3 linked regions of the Tamandua tetradactyla genome follow. The protein of the gene in region 2 interacts with the protein of the main gene of each other region in a pairwise test. Links are inferred from orthologs where the notes say so. Each region holds a gene or a part of one and is shown on either strand. Other genes may lie near its edges.

What was found.
Region 1: the proteins of MEIS2 (region 2) and OSGIN1 interact in binary tests that used the Homo sapiens proteins (3 or more experiments, as listed by UniProt). The two-hybrid records come from large-scale screens. The link is inferred for Tamandua tetradactyla from reciprocal best matches to the Homo sapiens genes MEIS2 and OSGIN1.
Region 3: the proteins of MEIS2 (region 2) and PBX1 interact in binary tests that used the Homo sapiens proteins (3 or more experiments, as listed by UniProt). The link is inferred for Tamandua tetradactyla from reciprocal best matches to the Homo sapiens genes MEIS2 and PBX1.

What each region holds. Positions count from the first base shown.
Region 1 is NC_135342.1:78,632,511-78,639,675, forward strand, and holds the start of OSGIN1 (oxidative stress-induced growth inhibitor 1), read left to right. Parts: upstream 1-2,844; 5' UTR 2,845-2,964; intron 2,965-7,165. UniProt on the Homo sapiens protein: Monooxygenase catalytic activity. Involved in regulation of cytokinesis; promotes RHOA activity, probably acting locally at the midbody in late cytokinesis.
Region 2 is NC_135340.1:50,203,363-50,210,527, forward strand, and holds the start of MEIS2 (homeobox protein Meis2), read right to left. Parts: upstream 4,091-7,165; 5' UTR 3,019-4,090; coding exon 3,007-3,018; intron 2,516-3,006; exon of another isoform or gene 2,431-2,515; coding exon of another isoform or gene 2,422-2,430; intron 1,641-2,421; coding exon 1,408-1,640; intron 1-1,407. UniProt on the Homo sapiens protein: Involved in transcriptional regulation. Binds to HOX or PBX proteins to form dimers, or to a DNA-bound dimer of PBX and HOX proteins and thought to have a role in stabilization of the homeoprotein-DNA complex.
Region 3 is NC_135330.1:17,809,935-17,817,099, reverse strand, and holds the start of PBX1 (pre-B-cell leukemia transcription factor 1), read right to left. Parts: upstream 4,664-7,165; 5' UTR 4,217-4,663; exon of another isoform or gene 3,978-4,216; 5' UTR 3,927-3,977; coding exon 3,736-3,926; intron 594-3,735; coding exon 520-593; intron 1-519. UniProt on the Homo sapiens protein: Transcription factor which binds the DNA sequence 5'-TGATTGAT-3' as part of a heterodimer with HOX proteins such as HOXA1, HOXA5, HOXB7 and HOXB8. Binds to the DNA sequence 5'-TGATTGAC-3' in complex with a nuclear factor which is not a class I HOX protein.

The sequences.
Region 1 (7,165 bases), on a different chromosome or scaffold from region 2:
CGGCCCTGGCTTCACCCCTTTTCATCATCCTCAAAACAGCCTCGTGGCCAAAAGCTAAGGTTTTCACCCAAGACTCTGGGCCGGTGTAGCTCCACCCTGCAGGGAAGCAGCTGGTGGCGAAAGTGCTTCCAAGAGGCGTGCAAGGAATTAAACATAGTGGCAGTCCCCGGACACACTTAGACTCAGGCCAGGCTGTAGGGGTGCTGCCAGGGGCCCACACTGTAGAGGGCGCTGCATCTTGCCAACACATGCCCCAAGTTAATCCATTAACAGACAGGCGGGCATCTCTGCCACCTGGAACCCACCCTCAGTGCCAGCCCAGCACCCACCACCGCACAGCCTTATCCCCATGCCGCCGGAGCCCATGCTTCCCTCCCCCCCCGCCTGACACCCCTGAAGGCAGCTGCATCCAAGGACTGGGAAGGTGGGGGGTCAGCTGCTGCCGCCAGGGGCAGATGTTGCACGGAGCCCAGGGAGGGCTTGAGACGCTGATGTCAGAACTGGTGACAGCCACCTGTCGGGCGCAGGACACCAAGGGCTTCCCTCGGGTCACGGTACCCATCTAAGGGCGGGGTTCTGTGTGCCTGAGCTTCATCCCCCATGCAGGCGCCAGGGCCCTGCACACACCCGGCATCCTCAGTCATCTGTTCCACTGACATCACACCACAGCTGTGCACGCTGAGCAGAGGGCAGCTGGTCAGGCTGAAGGCGCCGGTGCGTTTCCCCAGCACCCAGCTGTGGGCCCTAATCCAGGCTTCATCACCACCAGCCGGCCACCCTCACTGAACTGGCAGTAAGTAAACGTCTCCATCTGAATTTACAAAACAAATGAAAGCCAAAGAAGAGCCATCTTTTGGTTGGTCTGCTTTTTTATTAATTGGCATTCCAAGTGAGATCTTTGTTTATTAAAATGGTTCTGTGGCTGCTGGGGAAAAAAATAAGGAAAATGTTGGACGTGACGAATTGAGGGTCCCTCTGCATGGCCATGGGGCCTGGGGCCTAGCAGCCCCCCACAGGCCCTTGGCCACTCTCCTTCTCTTGAGGAGGCCACTGCAGCAGCCACAAGGCTTCCGGATTCTGCCAGCCCAGAGCCGCTTCTAGAACCTTCTGTGGTCTAGCTTCTCCCACTGCCGCTCCTGCTGCTGGGGAGAGGTGGACACTTGCCCTTCCTAGGCCTGCAGGACCCGCCTTCCCTGGATGCACATGGCTTTGGAGCATCTCTGAGCTCACCCACCATCTCCTCGGATGCGTGCTCCCCTAAAATCACGGCACAAACTCACCCTGGGCTCGGAGGCCACGTGCTGGGGTCAGTTCAGGAAGACCTCCTGGGGGTACGGCCGGAGACGGATGCCCACTGCCTCAGGATGCACACAGAGAAGGCAGGCGCGCTTCCTCGGCAGCACAGCCAGCCCCTTGCGGATGGGCGCCTCTGAGAAACAAGGTCCCCAGGGCCTGGGGCCGTGTCTCGAGGGGGGTCCACACAGAGCACCCTGCCCGCTGGCCTCCCGGTCCTCCAGCCCGTGAAGGGCTCTCAGCAGACACGGCTCACCTCCACCTACCTCGGGTTTGTCTGTGGAGGAGCCTGGGCCCCAAAGGGGTGTCAGCACCGAGGAGGGGAACTCCCTGCCCTTGAAGTGGGGGGGACCCAGGATGGCAGTGCCCTGACCAGGTGTTGGGGGTGGGGGGTATCCCCGGAGGCCAAGGATGCAGTGGCAAAGGGTGGGAGGTAGAACCCAGACTCTCTCCATGCAAAGCCTCAAGGGCACTGGACATGTCAGCCTTGCCTCAGTTTCCCCCCTGCAACAGGAACTCCTAGTTCCCGCTCCCCCCACCTCCAGGGCACATTGTGGGCAGGTGACCTCCCAGGTGGGATTGTGTCTGAGCCATGGTTCAGGCATTTTAAATTTAAAACAATTTTAATGTTTTAACATTTTGATTGTGGTAACAGATATGCAACATAACATTTCCCATCTTAGCCACTCTTGGATGTGCAGCTCAATGGGGTTCATTACAATCACAGTGCTGTGCGCCCCCCATTGCCCACACTTTGCCATCCCCCAAGTAGAAACTCTCCCCCCTGCCACCCCCACCCCACCCCAGCCATCCCCCGGCCACCACCCCCAGCCACCTCTAATTTATGCTCCGTCTCTGTGAATCAGCACATTCTAGTTATTTCACAACTGGGAGCTCACACAATACTTGTCCTTTTGTGTCTGGCTTATTGCACACTACATTATGCTTTCAAGGTCCATCCGGGTTGTCGCATGTAACAGAACTTCCCTCCTCGCAGCTGAGTGAAACTCCAGTGTTCTCACTTTGTTTCTTCATCCATCTGCCATGACCTCGGGATGCTTCGACATTTCAGCCGTTGGGGACAATGCTGCTGCGAGCCCTGGTTCCCGAACAGCTGTCCCCTGGCACCGGGATGGCCGGGCCCTGTAGATAATTCAGGTGGTTCAGCTTCGGCGACCTGCCAGGGCCCCCCAGCCAGAGGGCAGCTGCTGCAAGTCTGTCTGTCTGCCTTTCTCCCTCCCCTCCCAGTTCACCCTTCTCCCTGCTGACTTCTGCACCCCTGTGCTCACCTGGCCCCCAACACCACCCTTCACCACAGGTGCAGACAAGCCCCTCCGAGGTGGGGTGTCTGCCCCCAGAGCCCTTCAGTGCCCACCTACAGGCACCACTCATGTGCTTGGCCAGGTGTGCCCCTTTCCGGATGTCCCTGGGGAGGTGGAGGCCAGCCTGGCAGGGCGGCAGAGGAAGGAGCCGGACAGAGCTCCTCTGAGGTGGCCCGGCCGCCAGGCAGGACTTTGTGATGCCACAAAAAGGCCAGCCTGGCCTCTTATCCCCACCTCCCCTGTGGTCACATCCAGGGGGGCCCCCAGGGGAGGGCCAGCTCCACTGCTGCCTGCTCTCCTCCCAGCCAATGCCTGCGATCCCCACTGCACACAGCCCACTCACCACCAGGTAAGAGGGCCGCCATGGGGGGGTAGACGTGCCCTGGGGGAGCCCTGGGGCCTGGTGGGGGTACCTGGAAGGGCTAGGTGCAGACCCCCGGCCCAGAGAGCAGGAGGCGCTCTGCAGGGGAGGGAACCAGGCCCCCTGTCCCGCCATCCCTGGGTGGAGTTCAGTGCCACCACTGCCTCACCGAGATCTCGGAAAAGTGCCCAGACCCCTGACCCTCAGTCTCCCCAGCAGTAAATGGTGCTAGCAGGGGTCCCCCATATACTGAAGCCCACCAGCCATGGTTGCTGCACCCAGAGCTGACCACCAGCTTCCCAGCCAGGCCCAGCCGTGCTGCCCAGCACCCCTCACTCCCCAGAACACAGCCCTTACCAGCCCCCATCCCCTCGCCACCATGGGCCAGGCCTGGGACATGGTGAGGAGTATCAAGGAGGGGGCACGGGGGCCTGGGGTGGGTTCTCCTTCTGGGGTCTCGTCCTTGGCATCAGGTCTCCCCGAGCAGCTCAGGCCATAGGCGCCGGGTGTCGGGGGTCAACCCCCCCAGGAAGGCTCTGGGCACCAGGTGTGCGCTGGCGGCCCACAGGATAAACTGCAGCCCCCCGCCCCCGCACTGGGCTCTGGCCTAGGGAGCTTCGGTTCTCGAAGGCACGAGCCCTCCCTGTCCAGCTCGTCCCATTCAAGGCACTGCCTGGTTCCTGCTCCCCGGTCCTGCCAAGGCAGGCAGGGCTGGGGTTTGAACCCAGGCCTCTGAGGATGGGTTCACTGCACATTAGAATCCTGGGGGCTCTGAACAAAGCCGAAACCCAGCTCCAATCATCAGACCCGATCAGAACCCCTGCACAGGGGCCGCACCAGCCCTGTCCCAGACCCATCAGCAGGGGACAGAAAGCTGGGCTTGGACAGTGGCCAAAGCACACGCCCCACACCTGCCATGTCACTGTGGGATATCTCCTGCACCCCAAGCCCCCGGTCCCCTCCCCAGCACTCAGGAGCTCACTGAGTCGCCCCAAGCCTCTCCCGTCCCCTGCCGCCTATCTGCGGGTCTGCAGTTTGGCAGGGTCAGCCCCACTCCCAGCCATGGGAGGTCAGTGCCTGCGACACACAGGGGCCCGAGGCCACAGCCGCTGCGCCCCTCTTGTGCGCCTTTCTGGCTGGCTGACATGGGGAAGGTCAGCGTGTCTCAGTTTCCCCATGTAAAGTGCCTGGGGCAGCAGCTACCTCGTGGGGATGCTGGGAGGACCCAACGAGTAAAGCGGGGAAGTGCTGAGCTCAGTAGGAGCAGGTTAAGGGGTGATCCCTCACCCCGGGTCTGCTAGCAGACGTCTTCCCACCTGCCCCTCTGCAGGCCAACGGCCCGAGCACGCTCGCTCGGGTTCACACCGGTGGCCGCTGGCCTGTGATGGGGAAGAGGAACTCACCTCCCAGACTGTCTGCTGCCCGTCCCCGGCTTAGAGGGAGCAGCCGCTGGCAGGTGCAGCCAGGTGGAGCAGGGCCGCACTTGCCTCTACCCCGAAGCCACCTTTGGCAAACAAAGGCAGAGGATGTGCTGCCAGAAAGGCTGATCGGTGCCCCGGCCAGGGCAGGCAGGGGCCAGGGCTCTCGTGCTCCCCTGGGCTGCCCTTCCCTGCACCCCATGCCTGGGTCTCCCTCCCGGGCCTCTCTAAATCCCAGGAGTGACGGAAGGGCTCACAACTGGGCTAGAACGGAGTTCACAGCCCTAACCTAAATAAAAACGCCTTTCCCTGGGCTGCAGTTGCCTGGCAAAGCCCTGGCAATAACCCATCACCGCAGGCAGTTGGGGACTTAGAACAGATCTTCTCCCCCAGTCTTGGAGGCAGAACCTGAAATGGAGGTGTCCTGTGCCTCCATAGCCTCTGAGAGAGGGTCCTGCTCAGCCACGTGCAGCTTCTGGGTGCCCCACCCTTCCCCACCCCAGTGTCTCTTGGCTTGTGGCTACGCCCCTCCCGTCTCTCTCCCATCTTCCCACAGCCTCCCCTCTACATCTCTGTCTTCTGTTCCTTAGTTGGACATCGGTCTCTGGATTTAGGGCCCACCTAGAGAATCCAGGACGACTTTGTCTGGAGGTCCTCAACTTAATTACATCTACAAAGACCCTTTCTCCAAATAAGGTCACGCCCGCAGGTTAGGATGCAGGGGGATGCATGCAACCCACTCCCCCTCCCTCCCTTCTCTGCAAGCCATGATGGTGTCTACGCATGGACATGGAAAATTAATTGGGCCTCTCCTCCCTGCGCCCCTCCACTCATTAGTAAAAGGGTGGGGAGAGGAGTGGATGCATAAACTTTGTAAGCTGTTAGAGATGTGAAGTCCTTTGAGAGCCCAGTCTGACCCCCTTGTTTTCAGGTGAGGGACCCAAAGCCCCAGCCGTTTGCTTCTGCGCCATTTCAGACCCTTCTGCTTCTCTCCCCGACGCCACCATCGCCTCGCCCCCGACCTCAACAGCCTCTGCCTGCCCTCGCTGCCTCCCACTTTGCCCTCTCCTTCTGCCCCAGTGGCCTTTCTGGAACCCTGCCTGGCCCATCTCCATCCTGCTGAACCCTTCACAGGTTCCAGCACCCTCGGGCAACATCAGCTTCTGCCATGGGGCCAGCCTCTTCCTCTCCAGCCTCCCTCTCCCTCCCCACCGGCGAGGCGGCCTGAGAACCACCTGCCGAGCCACTTCCAGGATTTGTGACTGGGCCTAGAAGCATTCCCCCTGCCCCCAGCCCTGCCACCTACAGCCTGTTTTGGCTCGGCTCTGGTCACTCTTGCAGAGAATCTCTGCGACCCTCCTAGCCACTCTCTCAGCTTCCCCGTGCCTGGCCACCAGCACTCGTGGGATTTGCGGCTGTCCTCTGTGGGTGTGTCCCCCCTCCCCTGATCGGTGAGCTGTGCCGGGACGGCCCCTGGATGTGCTTCCCCTGTGCTCTCGGGCAGATGGAATGTGACCTGCCACCATCTCGTGGCCAGGAAGGCACCCAGCTCCGGCCCCCTGACTCCCAATCCAGTGCTCTCCTTGGTCTCAGCCAGAGAGAAAGCCAAGTGGCAGCTCCTGGCGATCCAGGGCTTGGAAGGTGCCTGCTGGAGTGACCCTTCTGACGTTGTCTCCTGGGACAGGAAGGTCAGTCCCAGTGGGAGGTGCCAGGGGACCATGGTCATGCTTAAGGAATGCTGTAGGCCCTTTTACACCACACACACTTACTGAGCAGCTACTGTGTGCCAATCTCTGTTCTAGGCCCTTGGGGTACACCAGTAAACAGGATACAAACACCTACCCTCCCAGAACTTGCGTCCCAGGGTGAGGACTCAGACAAACAAATGAATAAATAAGTGTATAATTCGTAGCGTTGGGAACCATGTAGGAAAATAAAGCTGGGTGAGTTACTGGCTCATACCAGTGGCCTGAGAAGGCCTCACTGAGATGACAACTGAGCAGAGGCCTGAGTGAAGCAAGTCAGGTGGATAGCTGAGGGAAGAGCATTTGGGATTCAGGGCCAGTGCAAATGTCCTGAGGCAGGAACATGTTCAGCTTGTTCCAGGAATAGCAAAGAGGCCCGGGGAAGTGGAGAGATGGGAGAGGAGGTCAGAGAAGTGATGCCGGGTCAGCAAAGACCTGTAGATAACTCTGGGTGAGAGGGGTAGTGGTCAGAGAGCTAGGGGCAGGATCTGGCTTCGTTCCCATGTGGAGAATTTGCTGTAAGGGACAAGGCGGGGCATGGTCAGGAGGCTTTGCAGTAATCCTAGGCTGGGAGGGGGCGACAGCTGGCATGGCACAAAGTGGCCAAATCCCAAATGTATTTGCGGGCACAGCTGATGGGACTTGCAGATGGATTGGGGCGTGAATGAGAGAGGAGCCCAGGCTGACTCGGAGCCTTTAGCCTGAGAAACTGGGAAGATAGAATAGCCTCCTCTGGGAGGGGTAGGGCAGGGAGCTGGGTTTGGCACCCGGCATGAGCAGCTTTCCTGGTTCAGGGATAGGAGGTGACTGGAAAAGTCCTGCTTCTGGATTTCCCCTTCACCTCCCTGCACCTCCCTCGGCCACTCCCCACCTACCTGGAGCCACCAGCCAGTGGGAGGGGCGCGGAGACAAGGCATGCCAGGGCCCAGCACCACCCTGTCCCAACTCAGCCAGGTGGATCGGCCAGAGGACTCCGTGTCCCTGAGCGCCCAGGGCGCGGCCCCACCACCCTCGGACCCCCAGCAG
Region 2 (7,165 bases):
GCACGCATCACACTTTACAACCCTTTCTCGGCCAGCCGATCCTGGCCCAGAAACAGAAAGGAAAAACGTCCTGACCTTTTCCTTCAGCCCAGAAGTCCCCCCACCCCCACCCCCGGCTCTGGTCAGAGAAGCCCCCTGGCCACTTTAGCCCGCCAAGTAAAAACAGCCTCAACTGAAACGCAAGGAAACATACGAGAAGCTCAGGGTTACCCACTCCCACCACCGCACAGGCCACCGAACCAACCCCTGCGACCCAGCCTTGACCTCCTAAGAAAGGAAAACCCTCTAAAATCAAAATTTGTTTCCGCTCCGCTTTTTAATAAGAATTTCAGAGGAGGCCGAAGCCTTCACCTATATACACACCCGGAATGATATTTCCTAAATCCGAGAAAGTGCTCTTCTAACCTCTCCACCCCCTTGCCTTATAAACTTGTTTGCTTTACTCCTAGTAAAGTTCGGGCGTGGGGGACAAAATAATAAGAATGTTGAACGCTGAAGAACCTCCTTCCAAAGACCACATTTCTCCCATGGTTGCTCCAGCCCAAAATAAACAATTCGAGTGTTAAAATTTGGAAGTGTGCGTGCGCGTTTGCCCTTTGTGTTCCTCCGGGCGGTTTCGCTGCACTTCGGGATGCTTGCGGCCTCTGGCCTCGGGGTTCAGTTGGGGTTTACCGACTGTCTCCTCCCCTCAGCATCCCGCCGCCTATCCCCACCTACCCTCAGTCTGCAGAGCCGGTGCGGTGTAAGTTTGCCACCGTGCACCCCCACCCCTCCCGGAGTTCTCTCAGAAAATAAAATAATTTCAAGCCCTCTCCTTTTCTCCCTCCAAGAGCGGCTCTTTGCAAGCAGCAGTCCCTTCCACCCCGCTGCACTTCAAGTTCTGCCCCCTTTATTTACAGAGAATTAAGGAGTGGGTGATTAGGACTTCCTGGCCGACAGAAGGAGCCCTGATCCCAGCTCAAGCTGCATTTACTGCCTCCCAGACCCTCGGTAGGAAACAGAAGAGAAATCAAAACAAAACAAAAAACAAAGTTGCTTCTCATCAGGAGGAAAGTTTCCCCTTCGTCAAGGCCTCTGTTAGGGGGCCTGGAAGGACCAGCTCTGCGCCCTTCGGCCAGGAGTCCTGCCCTTGGGCAGAAGGCCCTGGAAGGATTCTGAGGACTTGGTCACTCCGGGGCTGTGGGGTCCGGAGTGGAGGGGCCCTGGGGGTGGAGGAGGCCAAATCTTCCGGGGACTTTTAGCAGGCAGAAGAGCGGCCCCCCTTCACTGTCCTTTCCTAAGGCAAGTGGCTTTCCCCCCAAGCAGACATAACTCCCCACTTCGTCCACACCCTAACCCCACAGAGACAAATACACATTCGCACTCACACTCACACACAGTAAGCTGGGTCCGGGAAGGTCGGTTTACCCGTAGATCGCGTCCTTGTCCCGCTTCAAGGCGTCGTTGACAGCGGATCCCATGCTGGCCGGCATGACATTGGGGTGCGGGGCGTGTGCGCCGTAGTGCTGCGTGGCGTGGAGCGGCGGCCCGTGGTTCAGGTGGTGAACCGGGGGGATCGGCCGCGGCGCGTGAGGGTCTCCGTACATGGAAGCCGGCACCCCTACTCCGTCCATCCCGCCGTAATGGGGCAGCTCATCGTACTGTCAGAACCCGGCAGGACGGAAGGTGGTGGGCAGGAGGTGAGAGAGAGCCGGGGAGAGCAGAAAGAGGAAGAGAGAAAGTAGGCAGCGGGGCAAAGGGGGAATGAGGAGAGAAGTGGGAAAGGATCAGATGAGAAAGAGAGAGGGAGTCCGAGGGAAAGGAAAATAGAGCGGAGGAGAAGAGGGCGGGAGGGGGAGAGAGAGGGAGAAAGAGAGGGAGAGAGACAGGGAGAGAGAAAAGGAAAGAGTATGAGAGAGAGAGAGAATATGGTGCAAGAAAAAAAAAAAAACGGAGGAAGGAGAGGGGAAAATAAAAATAAAAGCGAAGTCAGAAAGGAGAAAAGTACCGAGCACGAGTTGAACATACAGAAACCAAACCAGCGAAAACCACGGAGTTTAAAGTTGTGGGGGGGGAATGTTCTTAAATTTTAAAATGAAAAAGTATGAACGAGGAGCAGCTTAGAGAAGGGAGAGGGCGGGGAGCTTAGGCCGGGGACCGAGGGGGTTCCGGGAGGCCCCGCTCGGTCGGGAGGCAGCAGAACCGCGGCGAGCCAACCAACGGAGAAGTGCAGTTAGTGTGCGGAGGAAGCCCCGATCCCACCCCTAACCCCCCTTCGCCTCCTCCAGAGGATCCAATAAATCAAAAGGCGAAATGAAACAAAATAAAGAAGAAAAAAAGCTAATAATCAGGACGAGATCGCCGAGGACGGGGAAAGGCTGGGACCAGTGCCTCCCGGGGGGCAGGGAGCGGAGGGTGGGGGAGGAATAACGTGAAAGTTACCAGAAACATTATTTAGCAGCGGATTCCCTGCGTCCTTGTCAATTTCAGAGACAAAACAAGCAGCCCAGGCTAGTCTAGGCGGCGGCGCAGCGGCTGCGGCAACGCGGCCCCAGCAGCGGCCCCGGCGGCGGCGGCGGCGGCGGCGGCGGCTCCTACGCAGCCGGTGCCCGCCCCGAGCCGCAGGAGCAGCGGCGGCAGCGGCGCGGCAGCGGCAGCGGCGGCAGCAGGAGAACCAGGGGAATCGCGCTGCTGGGGTAAAAGCTGGAGCGAGGCGAAAGCGTGTAACAATTGCACATACACACACACACACACAGCACTCACACGCACTCGCCGTCCGCCCGCTCGCACAGCGCTGGAACACGCGCGCCCAGACACGCACACACGCACGCACACACACTCGCACACACGCAGAGGCACGGGGGGGAAAGAAGCCGATGAATAATTTTGCTGCTTTTAAAAAAAATACTGGCCGCCATCATCAAGCAACCACCAGCAGCAGCAGCGTTGAAGGGAGAAGAGGCTTCGGGACAGGCCCCTCTTAGGAGAGGATTTATATCTAGGTAAGTGTTGGAGATTTAAACCTACCCTTTGCGCCATCAGTCTGCGCTCCAATAAACTCCTGGATGTGTCGTATATTTAATATCCCAGTCCGGATAAGAAAGTGATCTAGGCTGAAGAGTCCTTTTTTTTTCCCAGACCAAGGAGACTTCTCCCAGTTCTCCAATATGTTATTTTTAGGGGAAAAAAAGCCCAGGCAAGACAACGAAGAGTTTTTTTTTCCTTGTGATATTTCTTCTTTTTCTCTTTTTTCCTCTTCTTCCTCCTCCTCCTGATCTTCCTCCTCCTCCTCCACCTCCTCCTCCTCCCCCCTCCCCTCCTCCTCCTCTTCGGTCCTCCTTTCCCCCTCTTTCTCTTTTCTTCCCCTCAGTTGGAAAAAAAAAAAAAAAAAAAGAAAGAAAGAAAGAAAAGGAAGAAGAAAAAGAAGAAAAAAAAATTGTCAAGCCCCCGAACTGAAGGTTACGAGCGGCCCGTCAGCAGCCCACATGTAACCGAACTGTCGTGTTTCATGGCTTTTTGCCACTCCAGCTGTCAATCAAAGCCCGGAATGTCAAGGTAGTGAATGAATGATGGTTGATGATGATGAAGAGGAGGAATCTTTCAGACCGTTTTTTTTTTTCTCTTCCAGCAAAACTCCGCGAGGGGTTTCTGCTTCTTGATTTTTTTCCTCCCCCTCCCCCCCCTCTTTTGGCTTTGCCCCCGCGGTATCTATAATATGATCCTCTCTCGTTAAAGTATTTTTCAAAGAAAGCAGAGGGTAAAAAATCAAGAAAAAAATAAATAGTTTGCAAAAATTGGACTTCCTCCCCCCCTTTCCTGGTAGGTATTTTGTCTCTCCCTCTCTCGCTCGCTCGCTCGCTCTCACTCGCGCTCGCTCTCTCGCGCTCTCTTTCTCTCTCTCTGGGAGATGAGTGAGTGTCAGTAGGTGTTGGCAGGTTGGCTGCTGCCTGGCTTATAGAAGAGCCTCAGTTTGGCGGCGAGGGTCGGCGGCGGGAGAACGAAATGACGGAACCCGGAAGTCGTGGTGGCCATAGCCCGTCGTACGGCGGAGACACATCCCGGGAGTGGGGAGCGGGAGCGAGGAGGAGCGCGCCGCGCCGAGCCTCTGATATGCAGCGAGTGCGATCGGACTGCCCCGGCTGGGGAGGGGGGTGGGGGAGGGGGGCGGGGAGCGGGAGGGGGAGGGGAGGCAGGAGCCGAGCGGACCCCAGCAAATCAGTGAGCCTTCTCCTCCGCGGGGACGGCAGGGGGAGGAAGAGGAGTGTGTGTGTGTGTGTGTGTGTGTGTGTGTGTGCGCGCGCGCGCGCGCCCGCGCGCGCGCACGGGGAGAGTGAGAGAGAGAGGGGGAGAGAGAGAATGAAGAGGACAGGGAGAGCACAGAAAGGAAAACTGCAGAAAACCACAGGGAAAGTACGGTACAGCCTCCGATCTTTTATTTATTTTTTATTTTTTTAAAAACTTACTTCTAGTTCATTTTCCCATTACTTGGGGCTCCTGCCTAACTGAGTCGCGGCGGGGACGTTTGGCATGGCGCTCTTGCTTTTGTTCCTTTTAATTCCTCGGCCCCCGACTCGCTCTGCCTGCCGATGACCACCCCCCGAAGGCTTGCCGGTAACACCCCAGGGCAGCAGCCTCCGTTCCACAGAGGGTACCACCGCCGGGCTAGACTTTTTTTTTTTTTTTTTTTTTTTTAATGTGGCACTTTTTGCCCTGTGCAGATCCAGGACGTTTGTCAATACTCATTTTTTTTTTTCTCCAGGACAAGAAGAGACCAGATTAACTCTGGGCGCTCTCCCCGAAGGCTGTGCGGACAAGGGCCACCCGGGAGAGTCTTAGAAGGGCCGCGGCGGAGGAGGGAGGAAGGGAGTGGAAAGGCAGTCGGAAGGGTGCCGTTCGGACGTCTGATGCCCGATGTCGCCAACGGTGTGTGCTTGTGTACGTGCATGTGAGAGAGAGACTGGTGTGCGTCTCCAAAAGTGGGTTTCACTTAGAGCTGGGAAGCCTGGGGGAGAGAAGGCGGGGGTGGAGGGGGCAGTGGGAGGGAGCGAGGGAGAGAGAAAGAGAGAAGATGCCGTGGAAGGAGGAGTGGCCGGCGCTCCCTACCCAGCTTTGTTGTGGTCGCCCAGGGCGCAGCGGCCTCCGCGCGGTAACGTCTGCTAATGGCTCTGTTAATTACACCGGGGCGAATTCGCTCGTTCAGAAAGATGGGGTTGACTCCGAAAGAACTTTTCCAGAAAGAAAAAGGAGAGTGGGGGAAGGAAGGTAACTACCCCACACAGTTTGTGGACATTAGTTCTGGCCGGTATCTCGCCCAATCCCTGGCCCGAGTCGTACCGGGCCTTACCTCTCTGCGCGGCTAGTTTCCCCGCGGCCGTGCGTCAATCAAGCCGAGCCCGGAGCTGGGGGGCGGGGCCACGGTCACTCCGCGCGCGCCGTGTGGTCGCTCACGCCGCCCCCAGACTCTTGGCTTCCTGGCCAGGCGCTCCGAGGGTGCGTTCTCCCCAATTCTTCGCTCTCGTCCTCTTTCATGGTCCCCTGCCCAGAGAATCGAAAACAGATTGTTCCTCAACAGCAGCCTCCCTCCTCAACTTTGAACCCATTCTGGAAAGTAGAAAGTAGCTTGTCTTCCGCGCGACTGCCCCGATAGGGAAAGAAGGGGTTGTGCGTGCGCGCGCGCGCTTGTGTGTGTGTGTGTGTGTGTGTGTGTGTGTGTGTGTGTGTGTGTGTCAGAAAGAGGGAGAGGGAAGGAGAGAGAGAAATTAGGGAGGAAGGGTGGGATGGCTTTTTTTTTTTTTTTTTTTTTTTTTTTTGCCCCCTTTCTGTTTCCACTGCTCTCTTGTAAGCTTTCGGGCAACACAAAGTAAGCTTAGATCGCAGCTTGCAGAGACTTCAAGCGGAGTCAGAAATTTGGCCGCGTTTTAATAGGGCTGGGGAATGAGCTGCGGAGGTCAATAAAGCCCTCCAAAAATGATGAATGATTGAGCACCTGTGATGATGATAGTGATTACCAGAGCAATTAAACAGTTTGATTAAATGAGCCATCATAACAGTGATGTCTGCGGGAAATCTGCCCTCACATATAAAGAAAGGGCGGAGGGGCTGGCAGCAGCGCCGGTAGCGCTACGCCAGGGAACCGGGCTGCGGGCCGCCAGCGTCAGGAAAGGAGAGTCTAGCTTTCAGCCACTCTTTTGCCCGACGTCAAGCCTGCGAGAGCCTACGATTAGGACACTCGAATTTTGCAGGAAGGGCCCTTCCCCCTCTACTTCATTTTTTTTTTTCCTAGAAGAATTCCAAGATTAAAGACATCCTTCTTGCTTGTTGCTGAGTTGCTCGTCGTCATATAAGAAAAGGTGAGTAAAAAATAAAAGAAGACGCAAAAGAAGAGAAAAGTTTGTCTCCAGCATTTTTTAAAAATTGTAATTTCACGCGGCAGTTAGGCGAATTCACTTTTCAGTTTAGCCGGGGTGGAAAAGATGAGGAGGAAAAAACAATCTGGTTTCGCCGCGTAGTGTTTTCGACTTAGCAGAGATCTTGATATTGGTGGATCCAAAGAACCTGGTGCAGCCCAGCTGGCTGAGAAGTTTAAGTCAGTTTTCCAGTTTTTACTCTTCCGTTTGTTCTTATTTTCAATATTGGGTATTTATTGTCGCCAATAGGATTGTTGTTGTTTGAAATGTCCTGTTAAATAAGAGCCAATTACTTTCCTTAAAAAAAAAAAGATACTCCTAAATGTCCTTGATAAATGCTTCTTTTGTAAAGCTCAACTTCGCTCTATAGCTATTGGCCACAGAGTTTCAACATTCAACGTGGTTCCTCCTGCTTCTTTATCATCTCCTTTTCTCTCAAGTGATAATGTGAGGTGGGTTAGTGTCCCTACAGCCTTCACTTAGAAAGACCTCACTAGCATTAAAAGAAAATTGTTTCTTCTCTGGCTGTTACATCTGCATAACAACAATTCAGACCGATTGACGATTTCTACGTTTTCAAGCAATTGTTAAACTACTAATGGGTTGATTGTCCGTTGATAATCTTGAGTTTTACAAAAGAAGAAAAGTTTAGACTCGAATGTGTTTTCTTATTGTGGACGATGCAAAAAAACGTTTTTAAGTGAACGTATTCCTTTCTCTGTCAGTTAAGGATCTGTAACTTATTTTCCTTTTTATTCTTTACATTAAAACAAACAAGT
Region 3 (7,165 bases), on a different chromosome or scaffold from region 2:
CGAATGTTGTGATACCACAAAGGTATTGACAACACTCTGCTTTCGAACCTCTGGTCTGCTGCTTCGTGTAACTTCAAGAAAAAAAGAAAAGATAACTTTAAAACAGCTCAGTGCCCGTCCTACCCCCATGCCCAACTCCAAAAAATAATAGCAATAATTACAGTTTTAAATATGGGACAAATATATTCCTTCAGGACATGGGGTTTTTACTTTCATAATTTTCCCCCAAAGGCACAACATTTTATAAAATTCCCTTCAGAACCTGTATTATTATTTCAATTTCAAGTAGGCCAGGAATGGAGAAAAGGAAAATAAACCAGTTACACTTGATAATAATTGTCAAGGAAACTTAGTGCATTCTTTAAAGGAAGCTGGGCTAGAAGTTCCTATTGAAAAATGCGATCAGTCTTGATAGTACTTATATTCTGAAATTTTAATATTTAAATAATGGGTTAGTGTTTGCTGCTGAGTGAATCAACTGACAAAGAAAATGCTTAAATACTGAAATCACATTCCTACCTGTTTTTTCTTTGATTTCACACAACACATTAAACAAGGCAGGCTTCATTCTGTGGCAGTTTAAAGCATGTTTTCTGCAAGAAAGAAACAACACGATAGCTTAGGTAGACTTTCAAGATCAAATGCTGATAATGCACCAGGGAAGAAAATTTAAACATTTAGCCAAAATTATATCCCAAGCGTAACTCTGTGGCATGCTTCGGTTGTTTTTATGACTTAATATGCGAGTCCCACCATAGAAAAAGAAATACTGTTCATCAGTAGGGAGAGAATAGGGATTTAACTGCAGAACAGAACTAACCTAAATTATGCCCATTTAGACAAAGTTGTTGTTGTTTTTTAAGTAGTTTAATCAAAGTGGAATTCTTAAACCAATACTCCTAGCCAAAGCAATGAGTACAGCAAGGCCAAATGCATGTGTTAACAGTTCTGAATAATCTATGCAACCACCACAGCCTAGGAGCCGTCTGCCTCCCGGTCTGTGTGTGTGTTTTCAAATTTAATTCATCCATGTGTTCGAATTCATTCCGCAGATGCCCCTGTATTCTCATAAACACAAGATGCTTGAAAGGTCTTCTGTGTAGAACTGTCAATTTATAAAATTTCAGTCCCCAACTTAAAGAGTATGGAAATGCATTGCCAGGGGGCAAACATACCCATATGGGGAATAAATTCATTTCTCGGTGTTCACATTATGCCTCTTGTGCACACACTGCCTGTTTGCAGGTGTTGAAATTCAATTATTTACAATTAGAATCTTGCACCCATTGGGGAAAAAAATAAATACTATTCTGCCTTTTAGATTAGTGATTTACCTGATTCTTGCATGTGTTTGAATTCAGAATGCACCAGAGGAACAAAACAATACCTTTTCCTTTATTTTATTATAAAATCATTTAGCAGAAGGATATTGTTTTGGAAACAAAATACTGGTCCTATCAGCTATTAGTCAAGGGAATTCTGTTAACTAAAATGAATGTGTAAAGATAAATGGAAATCCTTGGCTCTCAAAACACATGCAATTTATTTTTAAACCCTTTGAAAGTTAAAAAATAGATACACATCCTCATGAACCAGAAGCATACTGTAAATAATGTAGAGCAGAGGTTTAACAAGCTCAGAATTCATGACTATCCAAATAAACTCACAGTCTGTGTCTAAAATATTAATGATTTACAGAGTAAATCATTAATATACATCATGAAGGTATGACTGGAGAAAAAGAAAAAAGGACATAGTATTTGCTACATAGAGTTACATCGTTTAACCAAAAAGAAAGCAGACTGGTGATTTAATCAGTCCTCATATGGAATGAGAGAAAGGGCAGAAAAGACTTCTTTAATGTACTCAAGACCTCTTTTGTGATCTTTTAAAATAGTTTTCATTAATTGTATTCTTAAACATAGGCCCAAGTGTAAACAAAAATCCCTGCACAGCCTTACACAAATATTCCATTTCCATAACATACAAATGGGGTACTAGAACAGAGAATTTCCCTATCCCCAAATGGTCTGATCTTTCTAAGCATCCAGGCCTTTAAAAGGGGGACCCCCCCAAAGCCATGTTTGTCCTCAGTTTCATAAAAAATGAAGGACAACACATCAGAAAAGTAGTGTGTAACCGTTTTTACTGGCCTCTTCCACTTCACAAACTTGCAAATAATCCAGAGTATTTTTCTGGATCAATGTAATGGAGAAATCTGTTCCAATTCAAAAGAGAACAGGTAATAAAATTCACAAAGAACAGCAATTAATTTCTGAAAACTTTTCCCCATTAAAAAAAATTAGAATAGTTCGAGTCTTTGAACATTTCCAAGTTTTCGAGCACCCGTAAAGCTCAGTACTTTTGAGTTTACATGTTGCATGTGCTTACAGCTAAAATAAGACTGTAATTCATGCATTCATGCTTTTTACTACCACTTCTCATTTTCTCAACTCAAACTTCTATTTCCCTTAAGACAAAATACATATAATGATGTAATGATGTCTTCTACTACTATAACTAAGTCTATTTGCGATATAGGAATGATGTACATATGTTTAGAAGATTTTCAGAATGAGGAGAATACTTCTGAGATTTAACAAAGCTGGGTAATTGAATGGACATATGTGGTCATTAGTTTTTAAAATTCTCCCTTTTGAGCTCCGCCTTGGACAAGCTGTTAGTAGGTTGCCACTTAGTCTGTTTTATTTGAAAGAGAATTTACTGTAAAATCCTAGAGTGGAGGACTATATACCTGGCGGTGGATTAAGTTGGGAAGCTTCACAGCTTCTTTTTCCTTAATGAAGATCTTCATGCCCTACAGTATTGAAATACATAAAATTCACACATGCTTTCCTTTTTATTTAGTTGCATTTTAAGCCGTGCTGAAGAAAGCATGGGGAAAAGAGCATGCTTAATTTTTATCCCCCACCCCTTTTTAAAGGACCATACAGAGCTGTCCGTGTCACCCAAGGTTAGTAAACCGACTCAAATTGAGACAATAAAGTTAAACAGAATTATCTCAGTCTCTTAGACCGAACAAATATGTCTAAATGCAAAATTGTATTCTCTTTCTTTCCACTAGTTTTTTTTTTTTTGAGATAGAATTAAGTGAAAACAAAATATTCTCCGGATAGCTGACAACTATTGACAAAGAAATGCCCTGATTTTTGAAGGGGGGGGAATAAAGGGGGAAAATATCATTAATTTTGGAGGGGTAAGTCAAGAAAGAAAATTGCGCTGAATTAGGCAAGGAGACAACTAAATTTGCAAATAAAGTGTTCCTGGGACCTTTTATTTGTAATGTAACGGAGTCCCTCAATAAGAAGGCATGGAATGCTGCTCAAAACTTGACAATTCTGCTTTCTCTGATACTTTTTTTAAAAGCAGTAAATAGTGCCGAGGGCCGCTTCTGGATCAGTTGGCAGCATTTTCAGCGTCCCTGAATGTTTTTGTGGCTATATATGAGTATTTCTATATTCATACACACACATCTATCTAGATATATGTATACACAGCCACATCACGGCATGGGCGATTACACTTTCGATAACAACGCTCCTGCAAATTTTACTCCTCCGCCATGTAGCTGCTCGTCAAAATGGGAAAAGAAATAACATTTAAAAAGAAAGCGCTGTGGTGATCGCTTCCCATTGTTTCCCCTCAGCGAGTGGGGGAAAAACAAACAAACAAACAAAAAAACCCAAGAAAGGAAAAGAAAAGCCTCCATCTCACCTGGCCTGCGCCTCATCCAAACTCTGGTCTGTGATGGTCATAATTTGCTGTAAAATGTCTCCAATGTCCTGCTTCCTCCCGCCCTCCCCCTCGGTCCCTCCGGCCCCATCCTGCAAGTGCTGGGACAGGCCGGGGTGTCCGGCCATCCCGACCCCAGCATGGGAATGCATCAGCCTGGGCTGCTCGTCCATCTCCAAAGGCAACGGCGGCCCCGGCTCTTCCTCTTCTTCTCGGCTTGGCTCCTGGAAAGCACCAAGGCTTTTTATCCTTCAAGCTGTCTTCAAATCCTTTTCAGGATAAACAGGGAAGGAGAGAAAAAGAAGACCAAAAGAAAAAAAAAATCCCTTTGCCTCTTTAGAGGATGGTGGGAGGATGGGGAGTGGGGAGGGGGAGGGGGCGTGAAGGGGTTGCGGGGTGAGGGTGGGGATAAGGGCTGGCGGGGAAGGGTGTTGACTCCAAAAAAGCAAGAAAAATAAACCACCTTCCCACTTGGCGAAAAGAAATCAGAGCTGGCTTTTGGTTTCCCAGTCCGGTCTCCTTTGCAAAGCAGAAATGGGTCCCGGCGCTTAAATCTGTAGCTTAATCCTTTTGCAAATATGCATTGATCGGGAGAAAGGGAAGGAAGGCAGGGGGATTGCAATGCAAACTTTCCCCCCCCCACCCCCCGCTGCCCCCACCCCCACTCCGGGCCAGAGTGATCTCAAAGGGGGTGGGCTGTTGCAAAAGCCAGATCTCCCCCAGCCGCGGCAGCAGGCAAAGCACAGGCTCTCTTCTCCTCCGTGTCTCTGCAAACTCCAGCAACCCCGTCAGCCTCCTGCTTTTGTTTAGCTCAGGCTCAGGACTCCAGAAACATATACAGAAAAACCACAGCCTGAGAGGAGGAGGAGGAGAAGGAGGAGGACGACGAGAAGGAGGATAGGGGAGGGGGCAGAGGAAAGGGGAGAGGGGGCGGGGACACCAGGAGGCGGGGAAGAGGAGGGAGGAGGGCGTGCGGAGCCCCGCCCCCCTCCGCTGATTGGCCATCAGAGAAAAGACGGGCCCCTCCTCTCGCTACTTTCCTCACTGCACCTCCTCTTCAGCCTCCTTCTGCTCCTCCTCGCCGGGCGACCTGTCAATCAGAGTTCAGAGGTGGGCTGGGAAGGAGGCCGAGCTAATACCAAGTCTCCAGGCCTTAAAGGTGCAACGGTACCGTAGTTCCAGCTCAATTAGTCACTTTCCACTTTTCTTTCCTTTCTCAGATCTCAGCACATTTTGATTTCGGCCTTAAGGCAAACGTAGCTCTACTTAATTGCAAACGTATAAAATTAACACGAAAGAACACGGTCGAGGGGAGATTTTTTTTTTCTGCCCGGGTTATTTTGGCTTGTTTGTTTTGTTTGGAGCTGTAACGTTGCCATTAAAAACTTGACTCTTTTAAATCCTTAGAACTCATGGAAATTGTTGAGAGCAAACATTTGACAGTATGAAGGAGTTATAAAAACCAATTCAACTGTTAATATGACTAATAATGATCTCTAATAAGCAGCAGATGCAATAATAGATAAAAACAACAATCACAGTAGAGTTAAGAGGAATACTGAACTGTGACGTTTTGTTGCATAAAAACTAATTGGGGACCGTGAAGCTAAATCATGCTGAAGAAAAAAAGATTATGAAAATAAGTTCCCCAAATGAAACTAATTCAAACATTTCTCTCTGTTCCCCCCTGGGGGAAATTAGTTATTGGCTTAAATACTTAATATTAAGAAATGCATTATCACAGTCCAGTTCTAGTTTTTAATATAGTTTAACAAGCAACTAGGAGAAGAAAGGAATTGACATTTATTGAATGCCTACTACGCACCAAGTAATTTACATGAATTGTCTTACTTTATCCACAAGTCATCTCTGTGAGATGAACTATTGAACTATTATTTCCATTTTATAGAGAGGGAACTTAGAAAGCTTAAGTAATTTGCCCAAGGTCCCACTTTTATTAAGTATCAAAGCTGGAATTCAAACCCAAGTGTGGGTCTCTCCAAAGGGTGTGGCGTTTGCATTATACAACCAGCCTTAGTCTAATGGAAAAGTGAAGAGTGTCAAAACTAGTTTTAATGTATTTATTGCCCATCTTGTATGAAAAGAGACTTCAGATCCTTACAAAGATATATATTAGAACAAGATGACTCAAATTGAAAATGGGTAGGAAAGAATAAGGAAAAATAAGGATAACATGGAATCAGGAAAAGAAATGCACTTGTTGCTAAAGTCTTATACTCTAACCCTAGATAAACCAGAAATTTGACTCTTTTTCATTAGGCAGGGCAGAAGGGGAAATCTGTCTGGTTGTACACTCACAATGGCCATAAGATAAAATAGAAGTGCAATTACTCAGGAAAAGCCCAGCATATTTTGGAATGTAAGATATTCTGTTGCTTGTCCTTCCCTCTCCCTAGATGGCAAAGGAAATGTATTGAAGCACTGCAAACGTCAGTGTTCCCAGTCTGCAAAATGGAGTGCAGTCTTGCTGAATGCTTTGAGATCTCAAATAAAATGTTATTCTTTCATCAATCCAGCCTCTTTCCCAATCATTATACAAAACGAGTTTGGCAAGATAAGGGGCACTTATGAAAGCTTTTTGAGGCAGTTCTTAATAAGCTACTTGGCACTTCTTCACATGAGAACATTCAGTAGTGAGTATTAATTGTAAGACAATGTCCTATTACTTTAGGACAATTGTTTTATTCACATACATACTCGTGTTAAACTATTTGTTTTATCAACCCTAAACAAAAGTTGGGCACAAAACTGTATGCTCAAATCACACATCACAGTGAGTGTGAGTTAGCATAGCCCTTACAGCAACGGAAGTTATCACATCATAAAAGAAGAAAAGGAAGTCAACCCAGAACCTGTAAGAAAGCCATTGTGAGCAACTAATTCAAACTGCAAGCCTCATAAAAGCTCACAGGGCAAAAATTGAGAAAAGTACCATCGATATACAAAGATTTTTATTTCTAGCAACATTTTATTAGGGAGACAAGAAATGTATACAACAACAATAATAATTATTATGGTTAATGTTATTGAGTGCTTACCATGGTAGGGTATTATATTCAAGGTGGTCTCTTAATTGAATCAGGACAGCTGGCCGTAGTAACTAGGCTTTTAACCATTATCCTATGGCACTATCCAAATACATTTCAGTATATAATACATGCTACAGAAGTGTCACCATGTTCTAGAAGTCCTATAAGGGATTAGAAACAACATGATTGGGTGATTAGAAATTGGTTCCAAGGTAGATCCGAAGAAAGAATTGGATCTGGAGGACAGGCTAACGAATTTGACTGTCGCACAGGGTTTCTGTTGGGCACAATGAAAAGAATATTAGAAAGGTATGGTTGTGAAGACCTTCAACATCAGAGTTTGTGCTTTAGCTGGTAGACAC